2 linked regions of the Anolis sagrei genome follow. The protein of the gene in region 1 purifies or fractionates together with the protein of each later gene. This does not show direct contact. Links are inferred from orthologs where the notes say so. Each region holds a gene or a part of one and is shown in the gene's direction. Other genes may lie near its edges.

Evidence for each region.
Region 2: the proteins of RMDN3 (region 1) and VAPB purify together in Homo sapiens (affinity purification with mass spectrometry; 4 studies listed by BioGRID and IntAct, counting the BioPlex papers as one, with this or other methods). This does not show direct contact. The link is inferred for Anolis sagrei from reciprocal best matches to the Homo sapiens genes RMDN3 and VAPB.

Annotation. Positions count from the first base shown.
Region 1 is NC_090021.1:289,526,580-289,542,456, forward strand, and holds the start of RMDN3 (regulator of microtubule dynamics protein 3), read left to right. Parts: upstream 1-7,750; 5' UTR 7,751-7,924; intron 7,925-10,055; 5' UTR 10,056-10,062; coding exon 10,063-10,264; intron 10,265-12,041; coding exon 12,042-12,237; intron 12,238-12,917; coding exon 12,918-13,064; intron 13,065-15,877.
Region 2 is NC_090024.1:228,268,311-228,283,704, forward strand, and holds the start of VAPB (vesicle-associated membrane protein-associated protein B/C), read left to right. Parts: upstream 1-6,798; 5' UTR 6,799-7,324; coding exon 7,325-7,382; intron 7,383-15,394. UniProt on the Homo sapiens protein: Endoplasmic reticulum (ER)-anchored protein that mediates the formation of contact sites between the ER and endosomes via interaction with FFAT motif-containing proteins such as STARD3 or WDR44.

The DNA of each region.
Region 1 (15,877 bases):
AATGAATTACAATGGTGTAAACTAGACTTATAACTGCTCACCTTTATGGTTCTCTGGAAATCAAAAATCTGTTCTGACCAGAAAACAAACCACTTCAAAATTTTGCAAGCAGCACAATCCTCACCTCCAAAAAACAAGTTTCAATGGTGTCAAAGAGCAAGGAGATGGATGGGGATACCCCCAGCTATTTATTGTGCCACAAGTACTCCTGAAGATTATGGCAGATGCCCATTGAAATGCGTCCAGCTACAAGAAAATAGTTGGATATATATCCCTTCCACTCCTGACAACTTGAAAATGGCCATGTTGATTGTGTGTGTCTGCTCCTTGCTAGTCTTTTTGGGGGATATTTCGGAAGACATATAGTTATGTGATAAATAACTAAATATCTCTTGATACAGTGTCTCAGCCATACACTCTGTATTTTGTCCAAGATTCACTTTTTCTGTTTTTTTGTTCAAACTTTCAGCCATAGCCATTTTGATTGTGTTTAATACAGAATATTCTTACAAGACAAAATGTCTAGGCACGTACTGTAGTTTCAAATAAAAACAAATTAGCAAATATGTGTGTCATCAGGTCCTGCCACATAAAAGCTATAGAATTTCAAAACATTACGTTTTTACTAAAACTAGGACACATCAAATATAATTAAATTTCCTTTCTAATATTCTTCTTAATTACTTAAGATGACCTTGGCCTAGAATATTACCTTGCCACAGTTTATCTCCTTTGATCCTGCTCCATATAATGATGTCATGTGCTTGTTTTTCATGATGGAACAATGGTTTTCATTTCGAAGTCATGACTAAAGAATTAAGAACTTTCCTGTCAGCAGGAAGAAATAAGATCTACAATAAGAAACGTCTGGGTCCTCAGTAGAATACCAGAAGAGGGAATTCCAATAAATAACATTTTCTACTAATCTAATTACTAACAATAAATTAAAGCAGAGGCAACTAAGGATTGGGGGGATGGGGGGATGGGGACGGTATAATTTACTAGGCAAAGTACTCAGGTTTGCAAGGAATGAAAACTTGTTGGTTTTCACTCCATTTTAGCACTTAATTTTCTTTCTCTTCCTCCACTATACCTTTCCCTCTCTTCACTCTTCCCCATCCATTACTTACCAGGCAGCAGGAACTTTTCTCTTTCAATTTTTCCAAATAGCCCTTCAAAGGGAAGCAAACTATACCCTTGGGCAATTCTGGATAAATAATTATCCAGTGCCTATCTGTAGCTTTGCCTTTAATGTTTGAGAAAGTGTCTATGTACAAACCAAAAAAGATAAAACAGACAGAATCTAACTAACTTAAATAATTCCATACAAAAGATAAAATAATCTGAATGTGCAACTCACTAGTGCCTAGTCAATATCCATACTAAGTTTCAAGTGGGGGAAATGAATGTTCTGGTTGGAAGGATGGGTTGATTGCAACTAAGAACAGGAACATTCTTCATAGAAAGGCACACATGTTGCCAGTCACATAATCATAGAGCTTGAATGGGCCTTGTGAAACAACAGGTCCAACTCCTCCCTCAATGCAGGATCTCCAGCTAAAGCATCCCCAGAAGGAATCGGACCAGCCTCTTTTTGGATTCTGTGTGTGTGTGTATATATATATATATATACACACACACACCCACACACACACCCACACACAAGCTTCTCCCTGATCTCTCTACATATGTGTGTTTGTGTATGTTTTGTCTATATATGTCCGACCCAAGCTCTTTTGTACTGGTGTCTTTTGTAAGGCATTTATAGGAAAGCAATGTGGCTAAAATGACCATCAACATTATCTCATATAGACATTTGAAAATTGGGCTGCTGTATGAACCTACTGATCCCTCTAATCCAGCATTCTGTTGCTTTCTGTAAGCCACCAGAATTATCTTGAAAGGCCATGAAGACGGAAAGTCAGAAAGTAACCATAATGCCTAAATGAGATAAAGCCATGTTAAATAAAACATTTTGCTTAGTCATAAGAAATATTGTTAAGTTTTTTCAAGGTAAACAGAACATGTAAAAACATTTTGAGCCGTGTTCCATATCTTGATATGTCCTGCTGATATAATAGACACAGCATCATGATAAGCTACAAAATAGGACATACTGGTTTAATTGTTCATTTAGTGTAGAACTCTAGACTATATGAAACCAGAGTCCATTGAGCACTGTGTCATTAAAAAAAACTGCTGAGTTCAAGCTACTGTTAAACTCCATTCACAACCCTTAAACGTTTTTTTTTTTAATCCCCTTCATTTACAAGGAAATCGGGCAAACAATGGCCTACTTCTGTTACTACTCTCCAACAAATGGTACTCAGGAGTACACTACTTCTGAATTTGGAAGTTTCATATAGCCATTTTAACTGATAGCAAAGTCTGGAAAAGTTATTTTGGTCCTATACTCATACTTCCCCAAACCCCCCACCCAGCACATATCCCATATGAAAACAATGGTGGTGGTAATCATTAAAACAGCTGTGCTATAGCAGGATTTCTCTGCAATTCGAACATTATTGCTCGTTGGGTTTTGTTTTGAAACCCAACAAGGACCCATTGAAATAGTTTTTACAAGGCTGATGTTCCCAAACTAGCCAAGTTCCATAAATACAGCCTGAGCTAAGATCTACAATATTGTCTAGATAGGATCTTTAATATCCGTAAAAATCCAGCTTCAAACTCTCAGCGCCTTGAGCTTCTATTATTTCTTCACTGATAACAAAAGACAGAGAAGCCCTAAGGCAAAATTGTTTCCATTTCCCACTCAATCTTACAGATTTATCAAATGAAATCTACTCTGTTTGCTTTCACTGAGCAATTCTGCGTCAGCAATGCAGCCTTGACAGGCCAAGAGCAAATTTCAAACAGCACTAGATGACTGGAAAACTCATAGCTTTAAGCAATTGCCTTACGTCATGATCTGATAGTATCTGAACGTGATTAAAACTAAATATTGTCGTCTAGAAACAACTGAAGTTTAACGACTAGCAATTATAATGTCTCAAAAGTTTGGAGACATCTCAGAAGAAGTTAAAAGGCTGAGAAATCAGACATAATAGAGTGCTTAGTATTATTCAGTTCCAATGTTCTAAATCCTATCCAACACATGAAATGATTGCACTGCAGCCCCTTCCTATCCAAAGATGTTGTAGGCCTTAGATAACACCTTTTCATGGTATCTGTAAAAGGACATTTTGTATCACCAGAACTCTGGGCTTTCTTTATTCAAAATATTTTTATTGGTAAATGACACAAACAACCTTAAACAAACACATATCAGACAAACAAATTATTAAAATATCCTAGACATACCTATGATGTTGGTTCTTGATACAGTCAAAGTAAGTGAACATCATAAAGAGAAAAGTAGGAGTATAAGAGTGTAGGGGAGGAGAAAGGGCAATGGTGAAGAAAAAAAATTAAAAAAAATTAAAGAGACCAGCATCACTACAAACGTACATTTATACATTTCCCCTTATCACTTCCAGATCGCTTTCCATGGTATTAATTATTTTTTCCGACATATTTCTCCTAATATATATGCCTCTTTGCGTGTATCTTGTCTTAGCCGGGATATTTCTTTATTCTGTTTTTATGACCATTTGTATTTGTTCTCTTTTTAGGAATTTAATAAAATTACTCCAATCCGTTCTGTTTGATATTGATCTGTTTTGGGTGAGTTTTTGGGTCAAAAGGTCCATATTCATAATGCCAATTGTTTTCTCAATCCAGTTTTCTATTGTTGCTGTTTCTTCTGCTTTCCAGAATCGGGCTATACATATTCTAGCCGCTGTGGTAAGGTAACAAAAATATTGTCTCAATTTTTTTCCATTTGAAAATAGCTTTTTTTGAGTGCCAACAAACATCTAAAGGGACGATCACATCATTATAGTTATTATAATCACTACATTACTATAATCGTTACATTACAGCTAACTAAAGAGATCTGATAGCCATGTAATGTTGTTGGATATTCTTCATGTTGAAGACATGTTATTGGGGCACATGTGCAATTAACATCATTTTCACTTATAATCTACTTCTGTTTTCATGCACAAAATGTCACTTTGTGGTTGGCTTTGCATAGGGAAGCTTATAATAAAAATATTCTTTTGAGGTAGTTCAGTTTTTTAAAAAAGATATCTTGCCACAGAGACAGAAATGCAATCATACGTAAGTGTGGATTACATTTTTCCAAAGTAGATATGATCTAAAAAGGTTTTATTCAATTAACTTTTTATTTAAGAGTTTATTATCTTGAGACATGAAGTTTTCTGTTTAATTTGAATGGAGATCTGTGATAGGGGGTCCCAATGAACATATTTGTCGGTTGGAGTCCAATTCATTGGTAGCCTGCCAAATGTTGTTAAGTTAAAACTTTCATTATTCTAAACCATTGGCCATTCTAACTTGGTCTGACAGGAGGAGCAGTCCACCACTATCCAGAAGGTTAGATATTCTCTTCCTCAGTCTAATAATTATAGTTCAGTCTTTCCCAGTATTCATGGGTTCTGCTCCCATTAATTCAACCAATCATGGCTCCAAAGAATTGTGGGGGAAATCCCCAAAACAAAACAAAATTTGATTTTATTGCACACGAAGCATTACACAGATGTGTAGGTATATTCAGTTCTAGCTTCCTATCATTTCACAGATCTTCAGGCTCTCTCCATCACTTGTTTGAGTTCATTGCAATTTTATATAAAGGGATGCCATGTTACTACACCACTACACCACTGTATATAATGGGAATTGAGCATCCATGAATTTTGGTCTCTCAGTAGATACCTGTAGTCATCTTTTTAAATGTTTTGACTGATTTGTTTTAATTGCAGAATGAGCTAAAATGTTTCAAGTGGCAAATAAACCTAAACAGGCTCACAGACACTTAGCTTCCATCATTTACCTTGTGGTATGGTGAAGCCAGGGATTGCTGGTACAATTTTTGTGATGAGCAAGGCCATCCCTTCTGTCATAATTCAACTCTACTATAAACTCTGATTAGACATTTTCCTCACTGGAGGAAGAAGAGATATTCCCAAAACAATGTGCTTGTATGAATTATTCCTTTTGTAGGTTTTATCTTGAGCAAACAAGACCCATTTTCTTTACAAAAGACCTAAGCTTGGTGGAGATGAAAGCATGTGGAAATTATGTTGGAACTACACAGCTTGTGCCCAGTAAGGGCTTCAACGTTAACATTTTGAATCTACCACTGAATATAGATAGAAACATTGAACTCCAATTCTTTCTCAATTCAGAGCTCCTGTATCTCCCAGTACTCCTATATATAACAGTGCATTGTTAAGGAATATACACGTTTTCCCCACAGGTTACCAGTTTTGGAATGAAGACATGCCACACCATGCATTTGTTGTTGTTGTTGTTAATGGCCATGAAACTGACTTCAACTTCTGGCAATTGAATGAATGAGGATATCATAAACAGCCCTGCTCAGGTCTTGCAAACTTGGGACCATGGCTTCTTTGATTGAGTATCTCTATTGGCAGTACAGTTTTCCTCTTTTCCTACTGACTTCTACTGAGTCCTGTCTTCTCACGATATCCCAAAGGACAGTCTCAGCTTCTTGGGAATGTTCAGACCAGGACACGTTTATTGGTCCTTTTAGTAATCAATAGTATCAGTAAAACTCCTCTCCATCACTGTATTTCAAATGAGTTGATGCTTTTCCTATTGGCTTTCTTTACTCTCCAGTTTTCACAACCACACATAGAAATTAAGATGCTCGTATGGACTATCCTAACTTTAGTATTCAATTATGTATCCTGACATTTCAGAATCTTGTCCAGTTCCTTCCCAAGCTGCCTTTCTACGTCCTAGTCTTCTTCTGATTTCTTAGTCTGATTTCGCTAATATTTTCTCTCTTGATTCTCTGCAGTAATTCCTACAAATCTTTGTTATTTTCTTGAAGTCACCTGGTGTCAGGCCTATATCTTAAATGGCTGCTATACCTATCTCTCAATGACTTCTAATTTAAAGTTATGTAAACAACACTATGTAATACAATTTGGGGGAAAAATCGGTTCCTGGTTTGAAAGTGACACATGCCTCTCCAGTTAACCCATCACAATATTGTGCCTTTTCTCAAATCCTCACACAGATCCATCATTGTTTGAGTCCAAAGTGCTCTCTGGAAGGGTTTGGTGGGATTGATCAAGAGTTTTTGGAGTGAACGACAACTCCAAAACTCTTGATCAACGCCACCAAACCCTTCCAGTATTTTCTGTTGGTCATGGGCATTCTGTGTGCCAAGTTCGGTTCAATTCCATCGTTGGTGGAGTTCGTAATGCTCTTTGATTGCACGTTCACTATAAATCCCAGCAACTACAACTCCCAAATGACAAAATCAACCCCCCCCCCCCTCGCCTCACCAGATTTTAAATTTGGCTGTACCGGTTATTTGTCCCAAGTTTGGTCCTGCATATCAGATGTTTACATTACGATTCATAACAGTACCAAAATTACAGTTATGAAGTAGCAAATAAAATAATTTTACAGTTGGGAGTCAGCACCACATAAAGAACTGTATTAAGGGGTCGCAGCATTAGGAAGGTTGGGTAACACTGCTCTACAGTAATTCCTCCAAGTATTTGTTATTTCCTGCAAGGAGCCTGCGTCGTCCACATCTCTGATTTTTTTTTGTCATGCCAGGAGCAAGTAGCTTCTGGTGTGAGAGAATTAGCTGTCTGCAAGGACGTTGCCCAGGGGACGCCTGGATGATTTGATGTTTTATCATCCTTGTGGGAGGCTTCTCTCATGTCCCCGCATTTATTTGTCGTGTCAGAGCAACCAGTCCATTATATTACATTTCTAACAGAACAAAGCAAACAAACAGAAAGATACACAACTTGTGAGTTTGGTAGCTGGTTAAATGTCCTTTGACCAGTATCTAGCCACTTGGAGTGCTTCCTGTGATGCTGCAAGAAGGTCCTCCATTGTGCATGTGGCAGGGCTCAGGCTGCACTGCAGCAGGTGGTCAGTGGTTTGCTCTTCTCCACACTCGCATGTCAAGGATTCTACTTTGTAGCCCCATTTCTGAAGGTTGGCTCTGCATCTCGTGGTGCCAGAGTGCAGTCTGTTCAATGCCTTCCAAGTCGCCCAGTCTTCTGTGTGCCCAGGAGGGAGTCTCTCATTTGGTATCAGCCATTGGTTGAGGTGCTGGGTTTGAGCCTGCCACTTTTGGACTCTCGCTTGCTGAGGTGTTCCAGCGAGTGTCTCTGTAGATCTTAGAAAACTATGTCTAGATTTAAGCCGTTGGCGTGCTGGCTGATACCCAAACAGGGGATGAGCTGGAGATGTCTCTGCCTTGGTCCTTTCACTATTGGTTGCTACTTCCTGGCGGATGTCAGGTGGTGCAATACCGGCTAAGCAGTGTAATTTCTCCAGTGATGTAGGGCGCAGACACCCCGTGATAATGCGGCATGTCTCATTAAGAGCCACATCCACTGTTTTAGTATGGTGAGATGTGTTCCACATGTCCCCGCATGAGGAGCTGGAGCTGATAGAAGGAGCTCATCCGCCTCTCCCCGGATTTGAACCTGCGACTGTCGGTCTTCAGTCCTGCCGGCACAGGGGTTTAACCCACTGCGCCATCAGAGGCTCCCACATGTTTGATATGACCCGCACACTCCCTCTCTCCCTCCCTCTTCTTTGCCCGGCCCCTGCCTCGAGGGTATGCTACGTTCCAAAGAGAGGCGTGCCCCGCCTGCTTGCGTCACTTCTCCACGCCATTCTCTACTTGACAGAACAGTGGGTTGTGCCGTTAGCTAAGCAGCGGCGGGAGGCAGCACGTTGCGTCACTTCTGCGCGCCGGCGGGGAAGGGTGAAGGTTTTGCCGAAGGGGCGGCTCGAGAAGAGCGAGGCGGACGGTGGCCGCATGAGGACATACCGAGCAGTAAGCGTAGTGGTGGGGGTCACGCTGGAAAGAGCGCCGCGAGGGGTTCCTCCCTTCGTGCCAGGGCTGGGAAGAAGCGCCTTCAAAGGACCCGCCTCCGTGCGCCTGAGACAGACTGGGCTTGGGAAGGGAGGATGGAAGGGACCGCAGAAGTACACAAACGCCCGCCTTGTTTTGTAGCTCTTTGACCGTACAGCTGCTTTGGAATTGGGGCTCCCCATGAGCACAATGGACCTCCTTCCATTTAAGCGTGTAGGAGCAACTCCCAGAAGCCCCAGTGCCTGGGCCCCTGCCCTGCCCTCTCTGAGGCCCCTCTTCCCTCCCTCTGCGCCTGTCTGTGGCCTAAGAAATGCGCTGTCATGGCCAGTCGGGCTTGGCCCAGTTTTCAAAGCGCCTGGGCTGGAGTCGGGAGAGCCTTGAAGCCCCTTTCCAGCTGGCTTGGTCGCCCTTGGGCTAGGAAAACTCCCCTCAGCCATGCCTCACAGTGTTAAAAACGCACACTCACGCAGGGGTATGGGGAGGAGTGCATCTGCAATGTGGAATTAATGCAATTTGACACCGCTTTAACTGCTATGGTTCAATACTTTAGAAAGTTTGAGGAGGGTCCAGCACTCTGGCTGAGAATGCTGAAGACAACTCCGCAGATGAAACAGTAGATCACATCCTCAGCTGCTGCAAGAAGATCGTGCAGACAGACTACATGCAGAGGCATAACATGGTTGCTCAGATGATTCATTGGAACTTGTGCCACAAATACCATCTGCCTGCGACAAAGAACTGGTGGGTTCACAAGCCGGAAAAAGTTACAGAGAATGAACACGCCAAAGTCCTCTGGGACTTCCGGATTCAGACGGACAGAGTTTTGGAGCATAATACTCCTGACTTCACAATCGTGTTAAAAAACAAAGTATGGATCGTTGATGTCGCAATCCCAGGTGACGGCAGGATTGCAGAGAAACAACCGAAAAAGCTGACACAATATGAGGATTTAAAGTTCAAACTGCAAAGACTCTGGCACAAGCCAGTAAAGGTGATCCCAATGGTGATTAGCACACTGGGTGCAGTGCCTAAAGGCCTTGGCCTGCACTTAAAACACAATCAGTGCTGACAAAATTACCATCTGTCAGCTGCAAGAGTCCACCCTACTGGGATCTGCACACATTATTCGCCGATACATCACACAGTCCTAGACTCTTGGGAAATGTCCAATGTGTGATCCAATACAACAGCCAGCAGAGTGATCTTGTTTGCTGTGGACTAATCTTGTTGTGTTTTAAATAATAATAATATACTTTATATTCCACTCTATCTCCCCAAGGAGACACAGGGCGGATTACAGAACACATATACGGCAAACATTCAATGACAATTGTACAATTAACAAGGAACAAGGACAGACAATACATAAACATTGAGCCATGGCAGTTAAAGCATGTCAAACTGCATTAATTCTACAGTGGAGATCAGGCAAGGCAAACTTAGGCCCTCCAGGTGTTTTGGACTTCAACTCCCACAATTCCTAACAGGCTGAAGTGGAAAAGCAAGGGGCCTGAGACTGTTAGGATTGATGGGAGTTGAAGTCCAAAACACCTGGAGGACCCAAGTTTGCGCATGCCTGGTATAGATGCACCCTGGGAAGTAACTGGTGATTCGTCTTGCAGGAGTGTGTTGAGGGCTGACAATATGCATATACCAAAAGGAAACCTTGACTTGCTATTTTAAAACGAACCACTGGACTCCAAGAGCCCACTATAATAAAATGGAATAGATGTATTTACATGTAAGTGGGTTAAGTGCCACTGAACACCAGCAAAAGAAATCTAAATTTGGAACTTTAGCTTGGGCTGATTGTATGGGTTCATATCTTCCACATTGTTTGTAATATTGATGACATTGGCATTCTGTTTTATTAAGCCAGTGCCAGTGAAATTGTCTGGCTTGTTGCTAATACCTTCCTTGTCCTGGAAAGGTTTCAGAGCAGTCTTGTATCTGGATTTTTGTCCAGGTCTTACATGATCAATGGCTATATTGATATTTATGCTTTCTGCACTGAAATCTAACAGCAAAGGAACAGCTGTAAATACAGTATAATAAGAAAATAAATAAATGTGTTCTGATTTATTTGCTTCAGATGCATCATGTCCAAAATGGGAGCGTTGCGTGTGGGACTTGGTGTGGTCTTAGGAGCAGCTGCAGGAATAGGTCTTTTCTACTACTTTTACAAGCAGAAGAGAAAAAAGCCCTGGCATAAAGGCAAACCAAGACCTGTCAATTTACAGAGTCAGCACAATGCACTGGAGCCTCAGGAACACACAGAACATCTGCAGCGTTATAATCAGGGTAGGATTGCCATGTTTTCTATTCCACATCTGTTTATACAAAAACTAGCTATTCAGACTATATGTGATGTATACAGATGTATATATTGTGTCCTCCCTGCTTTGAACTTGGAATTAACATGCCAGTGTTCTTTTGTTTGCTTATTTTAGTGCATGTTGAGTCTAAGACAATCATGCATTATGTTTTCGTAAACAAATTTGAAAGTCCCCATTGTTTATTTTAGAGAGATTTCCTACTTAAACTATAGCTCTATTGCCAACTTTACCAAACAAGGATATATTTTGATGCCTAAAAGTTGTCTGCAGCTCCCTTTCCACAACACTTTTCAAACACTAAGGTGAATGCATAGAAAAGAAGGAGGCATGCGTACAATAATGTGACTTCCAAGTACCATGCATTCTATGTAATTCTTTCAAAGGACATTGGAGATTCATGTGGTAGGCTACAAAGGCAAGCTGATTCCTCCAATGACATCTGTTCTGTTAGTTGATTGGCGTATTTGAATTTCACCTTAAGTGTTCGGTTTAACCTCTGACATTCCCAGAATATTTCCTAAATATTTGAGAATGTGGACAAAAGTTAAATGAGTGTGATAAGCTGAATATGTACGTAGAAGATCTATTATCCGCCCCCACTACTAGTTCTATAATTGAGACAGCAATATAAATAAGTTGTTCATAGTTTTGCAGAAATTGTTTATATGAGGATGTTTTTGCTAAAGCAGACTTACGATTCCTCTAAGTTTTTCATTTAGACACACTGAGTATGGTCGAGCACCTCTCTCTGTGTGTGTGTGTGTTAGAAAGAAAATTCTTTTTCACTTGTTTTGTGTGCTGTATTGGCTATCACCATGAGGTAATTTGGCTACTGCTGTGCATTGATTGACCTTTCATACCTAAGTAGAAGTGCCCTGTTGGACAGTATGATGATTGGAGGATGCTGTGAGATTTTGCACAAGATTTCTGCGAGTTTCATGACATTCAGTTTTATCCCTGTACCTATTGTGGAATGACATTGGTGCTTGGGTACTTATACATTTACAGTCATGTTATGCTAGTGTTAGACTGGTATAGCAGATGCAGTTATAGCAGGACCATGGGTTGAAGGTATAAAGTGCCTCACTTAAAGCTGTGTTTCTCTGAAAATTATAATTTTCATTTATTTATATAACACAAAATATGTCATCAGTTGCAGTTTTAATGTGTGTGCATAGTGGATAGAACACGATAAAGATTTTGATATCAATAACCAGGACTGTTCAAGTAGGATTGAACAAAGTTTGTTTTCTTCCATAATGGTTTATTTTACATCTTCAGCTTTTTCAGTAAAACAAATATGAATACATGTGCACATTTTGGTATATTCTTATAAAAATAGGGCAACATTCTCAACTAACTGCTGTGACTAAGTTAAATACATATTCCTAGTCAAGAGATGATCATATTGTGCCTGCCTGTCATGCATTTCTTGTAGAACAAAAAGTGTGATAAACCTAATTTAGTATGAGAAACATGGTTGAATATACAGGGATTTTAAGAGTTTTGCATAAAAGCCTATTACCTGTATAACTGAATATATCATTTTCACTTTCCTGGTTTTTTTTTAATTCCAAGTTCTTTTTATCTGATTCATGGGGTAGCTGATGGCTTCTAAAAAGTTGTTTTTAAAATATCATCTATTCCTAGTTTTAAAATCCCAAAAATGAAGTAGCAGCAACATATCTTGGACAGAAATAATGAAGTAGTCTTACTGCAGTTACTTTATTCTCTCATTTTAGTTCCATTGATGAGAACAGGACCAGTAGGGGGTGGTGATAATATCCCATATGCACCTCTTTTAACACGTGAAGAACAAGCTGAAGTGCTGAACCGTCTGGACTTCTTGCTTAGAAGCCTTGTAGAGCTGCGGAATGAAGTAGAAGAGTTACGGAATAGCCTACAAAGTTTGGCAGGAGATATTATTGGAGAAGTCAGGTTGGTATAAAGTTGTTCTCAGTGGTATAAAGTTGGTTCAGTAGAATGATGATAAAAAAGGTCATGTTTAGCCTTTTCCATAATGCTTATGTCTCTTGTGAAGAGCCTGTTTCACACATAATGATAAACCAGGGTTAGGAATAATGTGGCACCCAAGGCCATTTTGAGGTTCTTTGGGACATCAGTAGCCCCCCCCCCCCCCCAAAGACAGTTATTTTCTCAAGTTTCACCATGTTTTGGGATGCTTGTGGGCAGTTTCCTGCCCACTTTCTTTTCTTGTTGGAAAAGGCTAAACATGATACCAAATATTACAAAATTACTTCTTAGTGGGCATTTCAGGACCAATATCACAAATTGCAGATATTGTTGTCAGCATTTTTTCTCAGTTGTAGCTGCTGGTAAAGTGAAATTGTTGTATTATAGTTGGTAAATGTTACAGGCATTTAACTGGACTCATTCTAAATCAAGCTTGGGCAAATTTCAGCGCTCTAGGTGTTTTGGACTTCAGTTCCAATAGGCTGTAGGAATTGTGGGAGTCAAAGTCTAAAACACCTGGAGGGCCAAAGTTTGCCCATGCCTGTAAATGTTACTAAACAAGATGAAATGATTTTTGATTTTAGGCAAGGGAGAGTTAAAAAAGAATGAAGTGAACCTTTCACCATACTAATCTCCTCTTGCAGATCCCATCTAGAAGAAAGCCAGAAGGTTATTCGTCGAAGGCGTTTTCCATATCCCAGAGAAAGGAGTGATTCTACAGGATCTAGCTCCATATATTTCACAGCCAGCTCAGGAACAGTCAATACAGATGATGGGGAAAGTGAAGGAGGGTGAGCAAGCACTAGTTCACACTTTTAAAACATTGATTTCTTTCCTGGATCATCACATAGGTTTTAATCTTTTACCTTCATCAGGTTTCAACCATGCAAAAATAAAATGTCAGGAATTTTTCGGTTGTGGATTCCTTCATGATAAGAAGATTGGATTGTATAGCCTTGTGGGGTTATTTCCAGTTCTTTGATTCTATTAAATGCAAATGACAGACCCAAGTTGAGATATCTGCAAAAATCTAATGACAGCTGGGCTGTAAATGCTAGCCAGCTTTAATTACTAATAGAAACCTTGCAGTTTCTGAAATCATGCTTTTCAAGGCACAGAGCTTTATTACTGGACCTTGGCCAACAAGTTCAAGTTGCAGTGTAAAGTCGGAGACAGTTTTGGTTCTTGCACTGAGCTTCACCAAAGACCAGAATGGTAGTAATGATTAAATCCAATCTCAGACAACACTATTCCTCTTCAGTCAATTAGCAATGCTGTTAATGATTTGTCAGCATAGGTTTTGTGCAGCATGTGCAATTTCCTTTCAGCTGGAGTCAGGTGGGGAAATGCAGCCCATGGGTACATGCAGCCCCTAAATCCCTTTGGATGCCTTCACAAGCCCCCCAGTTCAGAAATATCGGGCACCATTGTGTGACAGTGTGTTTGTCTGGTGCAGTTGACTGCTAAAATTCAGTAGCAAAACATTACAAAAGTTTGGTGCTATAATTCAGAGGTTTTCACAGTAATAATCTTTTAAATGACTCTGTGTAGCTCTCTAGATGTACAAGATAAGAGCTGGGGAAAATGTAGACTGTCTGTGGCCCCTGAACCCCATGTTTGTGTTCCCTGAAGCTCCCAAGTTTTAAATAAAAGAATTTGAATGATATTTGAGTGAAACATTAAAAAACCCAAATATTTCTCAAATATGTTATTCTTGTTGTATGCCTTCGATACATTTCTGACTTAAGCTGAACCTAAGGTGACCCTATCAAGGAACCTTTCTTCATAAATCTTGTTCAAACGGGGTTTGCCTTTGTCTGCCTCTGCGGCTGAGATAATATCACTGTCCAGTGGGTTTCCATAGCTGAGTGGCCTTTTAAACTTCGGTTTTCAGAATTATAGACCAATGTCCAAACCATTGCATCACAATGTCTCTCTACTTGAATATGTACAAACTCCAAAAAACTATCTCCCAGAATTTCCAGATAACTCCCCACCATAACCAAAGACCTTCTTTTCTCTCTGTTCTAGCTTAAAAATGATATCAAGAAGTGATGTGATATTAATTATTGTCACTATTTGGAAGGGGAAATGAGGAAAACAAATTATTTTGTCATACCAGGTAATGAAGCCCACATGGGTTGTGAAAAAATGGCATCTTGCCCTTTGCCCATGAGTTTATTATGTTTCCTCCCTTGGGTAGTGCTCTTTTAAAAAATCTAGTCTACTGACACCATACATATTCATTTCAACTTAACAAACATATGAGCAATTGCTGCCTATGAATTCAGAGTGGTTAATGTATTTTTTGAATTTTAGTTAATAAATACGTATGATTTAATAGCAGAAACCCTTTTGCTGAGTAATAGGCCTAAATTCTTGTTTACTCCACAGTACAAGTCAGAACTGTTAAAGTTTAAACTGGTTAGAGTCAAAATGAATGTGCTCCAGAATTTTTCTGGCAGGTCAGTGTGTGGATATGACATGGGGTAATAAAAAGAAAATTGTAATTGGCAAATTGGTTTTTGAATTGGAGCACTTGAGGCTATACTCTTTTGAGAAATAACCAGTTGAAGAAAGCTCCAAGCACACTTTAAAAAATATTATTTGTTTTGTTCATGAAACTCAAAACAGCTCATTACTGCTAGCATTACAAATCAAATATATGCACTCTGTTTAGTGTAAGGCATTAAAAAAAATCCAAGGTGGGAAATGATTAAAACCTAGTCTGTCAGTTAGACTCTGTACTTGTACATAATTTTAAACATGCAGAAAAATCATGTGCTTGATATGTCTAAACAGCCCTCTACAGTAGCTTTAGCTACTATATCATTCTAACCTAGCAGTCTGAATAACAACTATGGGAAAACTAAGAAGTTTGGAAATCATGACTCAGCACTTTGTATAGTTTTTAATCTGTATTTTACTGTTTTATATGCTTTAACTGTTCATGTATTTTTAACTTTTTAATAATTTCATATGGTATGTTTATTGTTATGTGCACGATGCAGCATTGAATTTTTGCCATAATTTGTAAGCCACCTTGAGTTCCCTTCAGGGTGAGAAGGGTAGGGTATAAATATAGTAAATAAATAAATACAATAATGATTTTAAAATATATATTTGGTGCAGGGACACTCACGGAGTAATGGTAGCAAAGTCGCAAAACCTAACTATTATGTTCAGGTAGCTCAGTCCAGAATAGACTTGGAAATCTGAGGCGTGATTCCTATCCAGATTAATCTTTTAAGCTCCTTTGTGATGTGGCTACTGTAAATTACCCAGGCACGTTTCACCTGCTTATATTGTTGCCTGTGTGCCTTTTTGGGCTTCATAAATGAGCCTTGCTTTACAAACGTGTTTGTGCAGTGGAAATCTGGTCTTTTCATTCTTGTAAGTTAGAGAACTCAGCATTTTTGCATAGTAATAGAGAGCATCTGTGGGTATATTTGACATGATTGTGACATTTTCTTTTTCTGAAAAGCAGGCAGTCCTTAGTGGAATGTGCATGCATTTAATTTTCTTTGTTTAGTCGTGTCTGTCATGCATAGGGAACAAGTTTGTATATTATCTGTCTGCTTGTCCACTTGGGATTCCAAATTTA
Region 2 (15,394 bases), on another chromosome or scaffold:
CTACTCTTCACTATTTTATCGAGACTGGACATTGCTCTCCTCCCAAGAAGTAAGCGTCTTCTGATTTCCTGGCTACAGTCTGCATATAACAGGTATATTGTAGCAATTTTCAGCACAATACTTTGCAGATTACTTTACAAAATAACAAAAGGGGAGGGGGGGGGCAGGTCTCTGTCCCCGATACACACAATCAATATTATGAGAGTAGGGAGAACAAAGAGGACAAAAGAAAATGAAAGTGAAAGAAGGGGATAACGTGGGATTAATGAACTAATTAAATTACACATGCCTAATAACATAAGGTCCTCAGGAGTATGTCTACTGTACAGTTGCTCAGTAGTATGTCTGCTGTATGTTAAGGATTTTCCAGAAGATGATTTATACTTCAATTCCTAAAGACTCTGACCCTTGGCAACACTGGCTGCGCTTGAGACTATTTATTTATTTATTTATTTATTTATTTCTGGTATTTCTACCCTGTCTCTTCTCTACCCCAGAAAGGGGATTCAGGACGGCTTACATTTTGGCAGCGATTTGATGCCGCTACATATAAACAATTACAATAATGCAACAACCATTAAAATGTATAAAGCATTAATTAAAAACAGTACATAAAGCATTAATTAAAACAATAAACAGTAACATCAGCTGTAACACCATTCCAGTCAATTTCCAATCAAAGTGCTAATTATGTCTGCTGTCCAAAAGCCTGGTCCCAAAACCACGATTTCAATTTCCTCCTGAAAGCCAGGAGGGATGAAGCTGATCTTATCTCATTTGGAAGCGCATTTCACAGGCACGGGGCCACAGCCAAGAAGGCCCTGTCTCCTGTCCCCACCAGGTGCATTTGCGATGTTGACAGGAGCGAGAGCAAGGCCTCCCCGGATGATCTTAAATTACGAGGTGGGGTGTAGAGGCAGATGAGTTCGGACAAGTAAGCTGGGCCAGAACTGTCTAGAGCAGGGATCCACAAACTTTTTAAACAGAGGGCCAGGTCACAGACCCTCAAACTGTTGGAGGGCCAGATTATAATTTGTAAAAAGCATGAATGAATTCCTATGCACACTGCACATTTGTAGTGCAAAACAAAACCCACTTAAAAACAATATAATAATCAAAATGAAGTACCATTTTAACAAATATAAACTTATTAGTATTTCATTGGGAAGTGTGGGCCTGCTTTTGGCTGATGAGATAGGGTTGTTGTTATTGTTGTTGTTGTTGTGTGATTTCAAGTCATTTCAGACTTAGGTTGACCCTGAGCGAGGGATGGGTAAATGACCTTGAAGGGCCATATCTGGCCCTCAGGCCATAGTTTGAGGACCTCTGATCTAGAGCTTTATAGGTCAAGACCAGCACTTTGAATTGAGCTTGGAAGTGGACCGGCAGCCAGTGGAGCTGACATAATAGGCGAGTGGTATGCTCCCTGTATGTTGCTCCAGTTAGTAATCTGGCTGCCACCCGTTGGACTAGCTGGAGTTTCCGAACCATCTTCAAAGGCAGCCCCACGTAGAGTGCATTGCAGTAATCTATCTGTGATGTAACTGGAACGTGGACAACTGTAGCCAGATCAGACTTCCCAAGGTGCGGGCACAGCTGTCGCGCAAGTTTTAACTGTGTAAAAGCTCCCCTAGCCACTGCCGAAACCTGGGGTCCCAGGCTCAGCAATGAATCCAGGATCACTCCCAAGCTTGTAAAGTATACAGTTCTTATTTGAAGGAATGCCCTAATTCTTGTGCCCACCCTGACTTCTGGGGGAGTCTATGCCTTGTGTAATTCCTGCCTACACACATTCTTCTGTAACGTTTACATCCCTGCCTATATATTTCAAGCCAAGTGTTATTCTTTTGGCAGGGGATTGGCAGGGGGTGGCTTAGAATGATTTAAAACTGACACCTCTGAGCATATTTCCTAACACTCAGTCATGTGAAAAAGGGAGCTACTAATCCTCTCATCTTTCAAGTGTAAAGATATATCATGGGATACCAAAGTTAGGACTGTCCATGTGATCATATTTCCTATTTCTATGTATGGCTGTGAAAGTGGACAGTGAAGAAAGCTGAGAAAAAGGAAGCAAATTTGGTATACGGATATTATGGATTGCCAATGCAGTTTTTTTTTTTCATGTCAGGAGTGAGTTGAGATTGTGGTGGGGTACAAATAAAGATTTTTTCAAATAATAATAATAATTTATTCTTCATTTATTCAGTCGCTTCCAACTCTTCGTGACCTCATGGACCAGCTCACGCCAGAGCTCCCTGTCAGCCATGGCCACCCCCAGCTCCTTCAAGGTCAAGCCAGTCACTTCAAGGATAACATCCATCCATCTTGCCCTTGGTCAGCCACTCTTCCTTTTTCCTTCCATTTTCCCCAGCATCACTGTCTTCTCCAAGCTTTCCTGTCTTATTACATGGCTAAGTACTTCATCTTTGCCTCTGATATCCTACCCTCCAATGAGCTGTCGGGCTTTATTTTCTTGAGTATGGACTGGTTGGATCTTCTCGTGGCACTCTCAGAATTTTCCTCCAACACCACAGTTCAAAAGTGTCAATCTTCTTTCCTTCAGCCTTCCTTATGGTCCAGCTCTCACATCCATAGGTTACTAAGGGGAATACCATTGCTTTTACTATGCGGATCTTCATTGCCAGCCTGATGTCTCTACTCTTCACTATTTTATTGAGATTTGTCATTGCTCTCCTCCCAAGAAGTAAATGTCTTCTGCAGTCTTCAGCCTGGAAATAAAAAGTCTGTCACTACCGCCATGTTTTCTCCCTCTATTTTCCAGCTATCAATCAGTCCAGTTGATATAATCTTTTATTTAAAAAAATGTTTAACTGCAACCCAGCTTTTGCACTTTCTTCTTTCACCTTGGTTAGAAGGCTCCTCAGCTCCTCCTTGCTTTTGGCCATCAAAGTGGTATCATCTGCATATCTAAGGTTGTTAATGTTTCTTCCAGCAATTTTAACTACAGCCTTGAATTCGTCAAGCCCCGCACATTTATTTATTTATTTACATTATTTCTATCCTGCCCATATCAGCCCGAAGGCGATTACACATTTGCGAGTAAGTCCCATAGAATTAAATGACATTTCCCTTCTTAGCAGAGATGTAAGGCTGCGGTTCTAAACATACTGAATAGTAGCTGTCAACCTTTGTTCATTAGATGTGTTCTGTATACAAGTTGAATAGGTTAGGTGAAAGTATACAGCCTTGACATATCCTTGTCCCGGAAAGGATCGTTACCTTGCCGTGATGCAGCAGCTTGAGCACTTAAATGATGCCACGAGTGAAACCGTGAAGGGACACCCAAGATGGAACAGTCATGGCAGAAAGGTCAGACCGAACACGATCTCTGGGGAAGGTAATGGCAACCCACCCCAGTATGCCAAGAAAACTAAATGGATCTATTATTATTATTATTATTTGAAACATAGCAAACAGAATCACTCTACTGGCTGTTGTATTTGGATCACACGTCGGACACTTCCCAAGTGTCTAAGACTGTGTGATGTGTTGGCGAATAATGCATGCAGATCTCAGTAAGGTGGCCTTCTGCAGCAGGCAGATGGTAATTTTCTCAGCCTCGATTGTGTTTAAGTGCAGGCCAAGGTCTTAAGGCACCGCACCCAATGTGCCGATCACCCCTGGGACCACCTTGACTGGCTTGTGCCAGAGTCTTTGCAGTTCGATTTTTAAATCCTCATATCATGTCAGCTTTTCCAGTTGTTTCTCTGCAATCCTGCTGTCACCTGGGATTGCGACACTGACAATCCATACTTTGTTTTTTAACACAATTGTGAGGTCAGGAGTATTATGCTCCAAAACTCTGTCTGTTTGAATCCGGAAGTCCCAGAGGAGTTTGGCGTGTTCTTTCTCTGTAACTTTTTCCGGCTTGTGATCCCACCAGTTCTTTGTCACAGGCAGATGGTATTTGTGGCAATGAATCATCTGAGCAACGGTGTTGTGCCTCTGCTTGTAGTCTGTCTGTGTGATCTTCTTGCAGCAGCTGAGGATGTGATCTATTGTTTCATCTTCTTCCTTGCAGAGTCTACATTTGGGATCTGTCGTCGACTTTTCAATTCTGGCTTTGATGGCATTTGTTCTAATGGCTTGTTCTTGGGCTGCCAGAATCAGTTCCAATTGTGAGCCACAGCCATGTTTTTTCTTTGTCAGTTTGGCTCTCAATTTTTCCCAGGAATTGTCCATAGAGAGCCTTCTTTTGCCAGTCTTCTCTTCTGCTCTGGATTGTGTTTTTATGATATTTACTCTTTGTCTTTTGCACTCAAAGCAGTTTACTACTATTGACTTCCCTCAATGTTGGTTCTTGACTGCCTTTCACATAATCTGCCAGTGCATGATTCTCTTCTTCTACCATTTGTTTCACTTGCAGAAGCCCTCTGCCTCCTGATTTTCTGGGCAGGTAAAGTCTGTCGACATCACTACACAGGTGTAATGCGTAGTGGATTGTCATGAGTTTTCTTGTTTTTCTGTCCAGATCACCCAGCTCTGCTTGTGTCCAGTTCACAATTCCAGCAGTGTATCTAATGACGGAGAAGGCCCAGGTGTTGATAGCCTTGATCATATTTCCGCCATTTAATTTGCTCTTCAAAACCTTTCTCTTTGGATATATTCTTTGCTGACCATTTTCTACATGCCCATGCTTGATAGTGTCCAACTGTAGCATGCCCAGATATTTATACATCTATTTATATTTATGTTGTTGTTCATTCGTTCAGTCGTCTCCAATTCTTCGTGACCTCATGAACCAGCCCACGCCAGAGCTCCCTGTCGGCCATCACCACCCCCAGCTCCTTCAAGGTCACTCCAGTCACTTCAAGGATGCCAGCCATCCATCTTGCCCTTGATCGGCCCCTCTTCCTTTTACCTTCCACTTTCCCCAGCATAATTGTCTTCTCTAGACTTTCCTGTCTCCTCATGATGTGGCCAAAGTACTTCAGCTTTGTCTCTAGTATCCTTCCCTCCAGTGAGCAGCCGGGCTTTATTTCCTGGAGGATGGACTGGTTGGATCTTCTCGCAGTCCAAGGCACTCTCAGCACTTTCCTCCAACACCACAGTTCAAAAGCATCGATCTTCCTTCGCTCAGCCTTCCCTAAGGTCCAGCTCTCACATCCGTAGGTTACTACAGGGAATACCATGGCTTTGACTAGGCGGATCTTTGTTGCCAGTCTGATGTCTCTACTCTTTACTATTTTATCGAGACTGGACATTGCTCTCCTCCCAAGAAGTAAGCGTCTTCTGATTTCCTGGCCACAGTCTGCATCTGCAGTAATCTCTGCACCTAGAAATACAAAGTCTGTCACGGCCTCCACATTTTCTCCCTCTATTTTCCAGTTGTCAATCATTCTTGTTGCCATAATCTTGGTTTTTTTGACGTTTAGCTGCAACCCAGTTTTTGCGCTTTCTTCTTTCACCTTGATTAGAAGGCTCCTCAGCTCCTCCTTGCTTTTGGCCATCAGAGTGGTGTCATCTGCATATCTGAGGTTGTTAATGTTTCTTCCAGCAATTTTTACCCCAGCTTTGCATTCATCCAGCCCCGCACATCGCATGATGTGTTCTGCATACAAGTTAAAAAGGTTGGGTGAGAGTATGCAGCCTTGCCGTACGCCTTTCCCAATCTTGAACCAGTCTGTTGTTCCGTGGTCAGTTCTTACTGTTGCGACTTGGTCCTTGTACAGATTCCTCAGGAGAGAGACAAGGTGGCTTGGGATGCCCATCCCACCAAGAACTTGCCACAATTTATTATGATCCACACAGTCAAAGGCTTTAGAAGAGTCAATGAAGCAGAAATAGATGTTTTTCTGAAACTCCCTGCCTTTCTCCATTATCCAGCATATATTGGCAACCTGGTCTCTCGTTCCTCTGCCTTTTCTAAACCCAGCTTGCACATCTGGTAACTCTCGCTCCATGTATTGCTGGAGTCTTCCTTGCAGGATCTTGAGCATTACCTTACTGGCATGAGAAGTAAGGGCCACTGTACGGAAGTTGGAGCAGTCTTTCGCATTTCCCTTTTTTGGTATGGGGATATAAGTTGATTTTTTCCAGTCTGATGGCCATTCTTGTGTTTTCCATATTTGCTGGCAAATGGCATGCATCACCTTGAAAGCATCATCTTTTAAGATTTTAAACAGTTCAGCTGGGATCCCGTCGTCTCCTGCTGCCTTGTTGTTAGCAATGCTTCTTAAGGCCCATTCAACCTCACTCCTCAGGATGTCTGGTTCTAATTCATTCACCACACTGTCAAAACTATCCTCGATATTATTATCCTTCCTATACAGATCTTCTGTATAATCTCGCCACCTTCTCTTGATCTCTTCAGCTTCTGTTAGGTCCCTGCCATCTTTGTTTCATTACATTTTTATTTATATAGATTATTATTATTATTATATTTTAGGTTAGCCCAGGCATGGGCACACTTGGGCCTTCCCTCCAGGTGTTTTGGACTTCAACTCCCACAATTCCTAGCCGGAATTGTGGGAATTGAAGTCCAAAATACCTAGAGGGCCCAAGTGTGCCTATGCCTGGTTATCACATCTTTAAATCACTTTTGTGATGGTTTGCTGGAGTCTCTCTATGGGGAGAAAGGCGGGTGAAAAATAAGGGCAATGAATAATTAAATAGATCCAATCAACGCGGCTTCTTCCTCCTCCTCCTGTCTTCCTGGGCAGCCTCCTTGGGGAGAAAAGGGAGGAGGTGGAGGTGGGCTTGGCTGCTTCTCCTCCTTCTCCTCCTCCTTCTCCGGAGACGTCAGCTTGCAGCTCCCCTTCGCCCCGCCTCTTTTTCCTCCTCCCTTCCTTCTCTCCTTGCTGCAGCGTCCTCCCTCCCTCCCATCCTCCTCTCCTCCTTTCCCTCCTTCCTTCCTTCCTTCTTTCCTTCCTGGGCCGGGCAACGCAGGACAGCAGCGCCTTTCCCTCTTTCCCTGGGAGCGCGCCCGGCTCAGCCTCTTTCTCTCTCCTTCCCTGCCCAAAAGAGAGAGAGTGAGAAAGAGAAGAGAAGAAGGAAAAGTCTCTCTCTTTTTCCTCCTTCCTTCCCCCCAAAAAAGAAGGGGGAAAGGGCGTCTTTCCTGCACAAAAAGGAGGGCGAAAACGCGCGCCCCTTTTGCATGCGCGCCTGTGTTCTGCTTCTCTCTCTGCGCGCGCAAAGGGGATTTACTCTTGCTTTTTTCCTATATATTATACATATATAATTAATAAAGACAGCTCTGCATATAGAGATCTTTTTTTTGGTTCCCGAGGAAGAGGAGGAGCAAAAGCAACAGCAGGAGGAAGGAACAGCAACAGCAGGAAAGGGGAGGAGGAGAAGAAACATGGCGAAAACCGAGCAGGTCCTGAGCCTGGAGCCGCAGCATGAGCTCAAATTCAAAGGTAACTTGGAGAGGGGCTGCTTCCTTCCTAACCTGAGCTGCTTCCTCGCCTTTTCCTCCTCCTTTTGGGCTTCTCCTTCGGCCGGGGGACAGCCTGGCTCCCCCTCTTGCCCCTTCCCTTGCTTCTCCCTCCCTTAAACCGAAAGATATCTGTCTAGATCGGCCAGGATATAATCCGATGCGCCGGGGTGGAGGCAGGAGAGGCAGCGGCGCGCTTTGCTGCGGTGCCAAAAAGGGCTCAGCTCCAGCGGCAGCCATTTTCCGGGGGCTCGCCCTCCTCCTCCTCCCCTCCCTCCTCCTAAAATGTCCTTAGTGGAAAAAGCACGGGGGGGACCTGAGCTACCTTTCCCTCCCTCCTTTCCCTCCTTTCCCAGCCCTCTTTCCTCTCCCTCTCTGCTTAAAGCCGCTGCGCAATCTCTCCTTCCTTTGGGTTGGTGCGGTGGCCAGGAGGGCGAGGATGGCACACAGCAGAAGCCTCCTTCTAGAGAACCAAAGCCTTGGGCCTCATCTCCACTGCCATACCACCATACCATACATTATATGGACTCTTGTGAATCTATACTCTCCATATAATGCAGTGTTTCTCAACCTGGGGGTCGGGACCCCTGGGAGAGGGTCGCAAGGGGGTGTCAGAGGGGTCGCCAAAGACCATCAGGAAACACAGTATTTTCTGTTTGTCATGGGGGTTCCCTATGGGAAGTTTGGCCCAATTCTATCATTGGTGGGGTTCAGAATTCTCTTTGGCTGTAGGTGAACTATAAATCCCAGCAAGTACAATTACCAAATGTCAAGTTATTTTCTCCAAACTCTACCAGTGTTCACATATGGGCATATTGAGTATTCATGCCAAATTTGGGCCTGATCCCATCATTGTTTGAGTCTACAGTGCTCTCTGGATGTAGCTGAACTATAACTCCAAAACTCAAGGACAATGCCCACCAAATCCTTCCAGTGTTTTCGGTTGGTTATGGGAGTTCAGTATATCAAGTTTAGTTCAATTCTATCATTGGTGGGGTTCGGAATTCTCTTTGATTGTAGGTGAACTATAAATCCCAGCAACTACAACTCCCAAATGTCACAGTCTTATTTTCCCCAAACTCCACCAGTGTCCACATTTGGGCATATTGAGTATTCGTGCCAAATTTGGTCCTGATCCATCATTGTTTGAGTCTACAGTGCTCTCTGGATGTAGGTGAACTACAACTCCCAAATGCAAGGTCAATGTTCACCAAACCCTTCCAGTATTTTCTGTTGGTCATGGGAGTTCAGTGTGTCAAGTTTGGTTCAATTCCATCGTTGATGGAGTTCAGAATGCTCTTTGATTGTAGGTGAACTATAAATCCCAGCAACTACATCTCCCATATGACAACATCAATCCCCCTTCCAATCCCACCAGTATTTAAATATGGGTGTAACGGGTATTTGTGCTCAATTTGGTTCAATGAATGGAAATACATCCCGCATATCAGATATTTACATGACGATTCATGACAGTAGCAAAATTACAGTTATGAAGTAGCTACGAAAATAATGTTATGGTTGAGGGTCACCACAACATGAGGAACTGTATTAAGGGGTTGTGACATTAGGATGGTTGAGAAACACTGCATTATATGGTCTCCTGTGAGTTTGTACTCTCCATATAATGCATCATAAACTTTGGAAAGGACCATAAGGGCCTTCCAGTCCAATCCCCCTTTCCTCTGAATCAAGGAGGTACTGTCTCTCCTTTGGGTTTGCACCTTCATCCTTCTCTTCAGTGTCTCTCCTTTGGATTTGCACCTTCATTCTTCTTTGGTGGGGAGGCAAAATCCTTCCTGGAAAAGCTCCCTTTCAGACGAAGCCTGGTTCTTTCTCCATCCCTTGTGTTTCTTGGTCTTAGTTTGTGGGCAGTCCTTTGAGGATTGAGGTGCCCAGGATCCCTTACGGTTGCAGGGTGGGTGGGTTGGGTTGCATAGGAATCTGCTGCGCTTGTGTGATGTTAGATACTATGAAGAAGCAGCCTCAGGGAAATCTTAAGGGCCTAAAATGCGTGATTATTTCCTTCATATTAAGGGGAAAACAATCAATGGACCCCAACCAAGCTATGTATTGCACAAACCATGTTTTGGTGGAGACGTGCTGCCAGGTCCATGTTATACAAGGAAAGAAGCCACCCACCCATGTTGCAATGACAATGTTTCCTGACAACTCTGTTCTCTCCCGTTGGTTGAGATAACAGGTCCAACCTCAGTTATGCTTATTTAGAAGTAAGCCCCAATATCTCCACTAAGGGTGTTTTCTACTCAAGTTTGCTAAAGGCTGCTGAAAGCATTTTGTTTGGTGCTCATTTAGGTATCTGATGGATATGGTGTCACATTATTAGACTTTCTATTTTGGCGTGGATTCTCCAAACGGAAATGGGTTAAATCCATTGGCCACTTTTTTTTCCATGTCAGGAGCGACTTGAGAAAGTTCAAGTCACTCCTGGTGTGAGAGAATTGGCCATTTGTTAGGACATTGCCCAGGGGACACCTGGATGTGTTACCATCCTTGGGAGGCTTCTCTTATGTTCTCACATGGAGAGCTGGAGCTGACAGACGAGAGCTCACCCTGTCTTGCAGATTCGAACCGTTGACATTCAAGTCAGAGAAGCACTATTTGGGGGACGGGGAAGAGTTGGTGTATTTCCATTTTTATTCTTCCAGGTTCATATTTTAACGATCCCATAATCTAGTTTTTTTATTTAAGGTAAAAAGGTAAATGAATATTTCCTTCATATTAAGGGGAAAACATATGACATTAAGTCTAGTTGAGTCCGACTCTGGGGGCGTGGAGGGTGATGCTCATCTCCATTGCTAAGCCAAAGAGTCAGCATTGTCCATAGACACCTCCAAGGTCATGTGGCCGGCATGACTGCGTGGCACACAGTTACCTTCCCGCAGAAGTGGTACTTAGTCATCTACTCACATTTGCATGTATTCAAACTGCTAGGTTGGCAGAAGCTGAGCCTAAAAGCGGGAGCTCACCCTGCTCCCCGGATTCAAACCACCAAACTTTCAGTCAGGAAGGTCAGTGGTTTAACCCACTGCATCACCAGGGCAGTAAATTTATTATTTACTGTATTGATATACCGCCTTTCTCAACCCTGGGGGGACTCAAGGCGGTTTACAACTTTCTAATGGCAAAAATTCAATGCCATCATACAGTACTCAAAGAAATCATAATAACTAATTACTACGAACTTAAAATAATTAAAACCATTAAACATAAGACATACATAAAATGTAAACATTCAGACAAAGCATAAAATAATTTTAGTATAAACATTGTTTATTGTTTGGAAATGGCATGTTCAATAAAAGTCATGTTTAGGAATTCTCTCATGTCCCCGCATGGGAAGCTGGAGCTGACAGGCGGGAGCTCACCCCGCTCCCTGGATTTGAACCGTCAACCTTTCGGTCAGCAGTCTTACTGGCACAAGGGTTAAACCCATTACACCATTTGCCAGAGTAGACCCACTTTATTGGGGGATTTAAAGAAATTCCGATGTAACAAGTCCTCATTGAGTTTCATGGATGAGTTGGAGTCAGGCCTAAGAAATCCCACAATATCCAGTGAAGTTTTCTCTTAGATAAGCCCGAATCTCAGCTGCCCTTTTGATTTTTGATGCTCCAAGCAGGAAAACAAAGCAGGCTTAATAGGAAGGAGATCCCATGGCACTTTTGTCTGGCAAGTTTTCAACCATGTTCCAGTTATTCCCTACTGCAGCTTGACAGTTATCCAGCAACCATCAGACATTGCATACATAGATTGTACTGTGGCCTGGAACATGTGGGACAGGTTTTTGCTGGTGATGCAACAGATTATGGGACCTTTGGCCCAGTGTGCAAAGTATACTGCTGGTTTTAAAAGAGAGAAAGAGAGCTTTAAAAAACAAAAACAAAACAGCATTGCTTAGACCAGAGAGGCCTGTATCTAGTCCAGTCCAAAATCCTTTACCTACCGTGGCCAACCATGTGTCTTTGGATAGACCACAAATAGGAGTAGCATTCCTTATATCTTTCAGAATTTAGTACTGAGAGGTACTTCCTCTGGTACTTTTTTTTCCATGTCAGAGGCAACTTGAGAAACTGCAAGTCGTTTCTGGTGTGAGAGAATTAGCCATCTGCAAGGACTTTGCTCAGTGGACGCCTGGATGTTTGATGTTTTACCATCCTTGTGGGAGGCTTCTCTCATGTCCCTGCATAGGGAGCAGGAGCTGACAGAGGGAGCTCAACCCGCTCTCCCCTGATTCGAACCGCTGACCTATTGGTCAGCAGTCCTGACAAGGGTTTAGCCCTTGATAGACAAGGGTTTAACCCAGGGCTCCTCAAACTACTTAAACAGAGGGCTATCTCACAGTCCCTCAAACTGTTGGAGGGCCGGATTATAATTTGAAAACAAACATGAATGAATTCCTATGCACACTGCACATATCTTATTTGTAGTGCAAAAACACTTAAAAACAATACAATAATTAAAATGAAGAACAATTTTAACAAATATAAACTTATTAGTATTTCAGTGGGAAGTGTGGGCTTGCTTTTGGCTGATGAGATAGGATTGTTGTTGTGTCCTTTCAAGTTGTTTCAGACTTAGATTGACCCTGAGCGAGGGCTGGGTAAATGACCTTGGAGGGCCGTATCCAGCCCCCGGGCCTTAGTTTGAGGACCCCTGGTTTAACCCATTGTGCCACTGGAGGCTCCTCCTCTGGTACTAGAAGTCATAAATAGCCATGGGGAGATAGACTGTAAATTGCTATGAATTGTTCTAACCAAGTGGTTCTCAATCTGTGGGTCCCCAGATGTTTTGGCCTTCAACTCCCAGAAATCCTAACAGCTGGTAAACTGGGGGTTGTTGTAGGTTTTTTCGGGCTATATGGCCATGTTCTAGAGCAGTGGTTCTCAACTTGGGGTCCCCAGATGTTCTTGGCTTTCAGCTCCCAGAAATCCTAACAGCTGATACATTGGCTGGGATTTCTGAGAGTTGTAGGACCCCAGGTTGAGAATCACTGTTCTAGAGGCATTCCCTCCTGACGTTTCGCCTGCATCTATGGCAAGCATCCTCAGAGGTAGTGACAGCTGGTAAACTGGCTGGAAATTCTGAGAGCTGTAGGCCCAAAACACCTGGGAACCCAAAGGCTGAGAACCACTGTTCTAACCCCCTTTTGGCCAAGTTGGTAGCCATCAGCACATCTTTGAAGAATTCTACTGTGAATAATCACTTATTTTTAGGTGACCTGCATCTCCCACCGTTTAGCTTTATTGGATGGCCCTGCTTTCTAGTATTAGAAAGGAGGAGGGAAAATTCCTATCTTCATTCTCCACCCCCCTGATCTTTCTTCCTTGTCTTGTTTTCTCACTATGGCTCCAAAATACATATTATTATATGTATATATATCCTATGTTGAGTCATCTTTGAGCAGGATACTACTACTCATCATAATAATAGGCAAAGCACAGCCCTCTACGTCAGTGGTTCTCAACTTGTGGGTCCCCAGATGTTTTGGCCTTCAACTCCCAGAAATCCTAACAGCTGGTAAACTGGCTGGGATTTCTGGTAGTTGTAGGCCCAAAACACCTGTGGACTCACAGGTGAGAACCTTTTTGGCCAAGTTGGTGGCCATCAGCACATCTTTGAAGAATTCTACTGTGAAGAATCACTTCTTTTTAGGTGTCCCACATCTCCTACCATTCAGCTTTATTGGATGACCCTGCTTTCTAGTATTAAAAAGGAGGAAGGAAAATTCCTACCTTGGTTCTCTACCCCACCTTCATACCTAATCTTTCTTCCTTGCCTTGTTTTCTCTCCATTGCTCCAAAATACATATTATTATTATATATTTATATCCTGTGTTGAGTCATCTTTGAGCAGGATACTACTACTACTACTACTACTAATAATAATAATAATAATAATAATAATAATAATAGGCAAAGCACAGCCCTCTAGGTCAGTGTATCTCAACCTGTGGGTCCCCAGATGTTTTGGCCTTCAACTCCCAGAAATCCTAAAACTCCCAGAAAACATAATAGCGGGTAAACGGACTGGGATTTCTGGGAGTTGTAGGCCAAAACATTTTGTGACCCACAAGTTGAGAACTACTGCTCTAGATATAACTAGACTGCACCTTCCAGCATTCGTCTCTATTCACTAATATGACCATAGAGACGAATGCTGGGAGGTGCAGTCTAGTTATATCTCTTTCTCTATTCACTAACATGACTGGAGCCCCCAGTGGCGCAGTGAGTTAAGCCCCTGTGCTGGCAGAACTGAAGACTGACAGGTCGCAGGTTCGAATCCGGGGAGAGGCGGATGAGCTCCCTCTATCAGCTCCAGCTCCTCATACGGGGACATGAGAGAAGCCTCCCACAAGGATGATAAAAACATCAAATCATCCGGGCATCCCCTGGGCAACGTCCTTGCAGACGGCCAATTCTCTCACACCAGAAGCAACTTGCAGTTTCTCAAGTCGCTCCTGACATGACAAAAAAACAACAACAAAACCTAACATGATTAGATCTGAGCGGTAATGACAGTCCAATAGCATTTGAAGGACTACACCAGGTATGGGCAAACTTCGGCCCTTCAGGTTTTTTGGACTTCAGCTCCAATAACTCCTAACAGCCTGTAGGCTGGGTTGTTGTAGGGTTTTTTCGGGCTATATGACCATGTTCTAGAGCAGTGGTTCTCAACCTGGGGTCCCCAGGTGTTTTTGACCTTCAACTCCCAGAGATTTTAACAGCTGTTAAACTGGCTGGGATTTCTGGGAGTTGTAGGCCAAAAACATCTGGGGACCCCAGGTTGAGAACCACTGTTCTAGAGGCATTCTCTCCTGGCGTTTTGCCCACATCTATGGCAAGCATCCTCAGAAGTAGTGAGGTCTCACTACTTCTGAGGATGCTTGCCATAGATGCAGGTGAAAGGTCAGGAGAGAATGCCTCTAGAACATGGCCATATAGCCCGAAAAAAACCTACAACAATTCAGTGATTCCAGCCATGAAAGCCTTCGACAATAGCCTGTAGGTTGTTAGGAATAGTGGGAGTTGAAGTCCAAAAGACCTGGAGGGCTAAAGTTTGTCCATGCTTGGGCTACACTGTGCCCATCTTTGCTTTAGAGCATTTTCCCAGTCCATTTGGATATCTCAGTAACCCTCTACTGCACTCTTTCATTTTGGCTGCCCTTCCTCTTTATGTGTTCTGGCAAAACCTGCTATTTTTAGACTGGAGTCTAAAGAGGGAGTTGCCTTGAACACATTCAGTGATTTTTTTGTGTGTATTAGGCTTATACTTGAGTAATCAAGTGTTGAGAAAGTGATAGAATTGTGCTGGACAGGGCTTCTGGTAATGTCACGTTGTCATAGTCGGCAGCAGCATCCCACCTATTTATTTACAATGGGTTGATCAGAAATATTCAGATTGCAGTGATGTTGCAGATATTGTGCTAGCAAACTTTGGTTTCAATGCTAATGCTGCATGCTTATTTGGGAGACAAATGAATTTAACATCTTATATTTTTGAGCAAAATGTGGATAAGATTATGCTGGAAGGCATGCACATATATACCCACATTTGATGGTTAGAAATAGATTTAAGAGTAGGAAAAGGTTCCAAATGGGCTCATTTATATGAGTCTGAACTAGAACCTTCTTCATCCATGGCCCCAGTGTATATGTGGGAGAGCTCTCAGTGTAACGTGAGATTATAAATAAATGTCACAAATTGAAATTGGATATATTGTCCATACATGACTCATCAGTCAGTCAATTGAAGTAAACAAGGTTTGCTCACAAGGGACCCTCGAACCCATTTGCGGATCCAGACACACCCAGCCTATCTTGGTCAGGGCTCGGTTTTCATGACAGTAAGTACACCTGAGAGTGCTGCTTTCTCTACCCTAAATTGCCATCAAGGCCTAGTGAAACCGAGAGAAGTCACTGGATGAGTTCTGGCCCTTTCTTCTATCCATTTTTCTGCCTGACCTTGACCGCA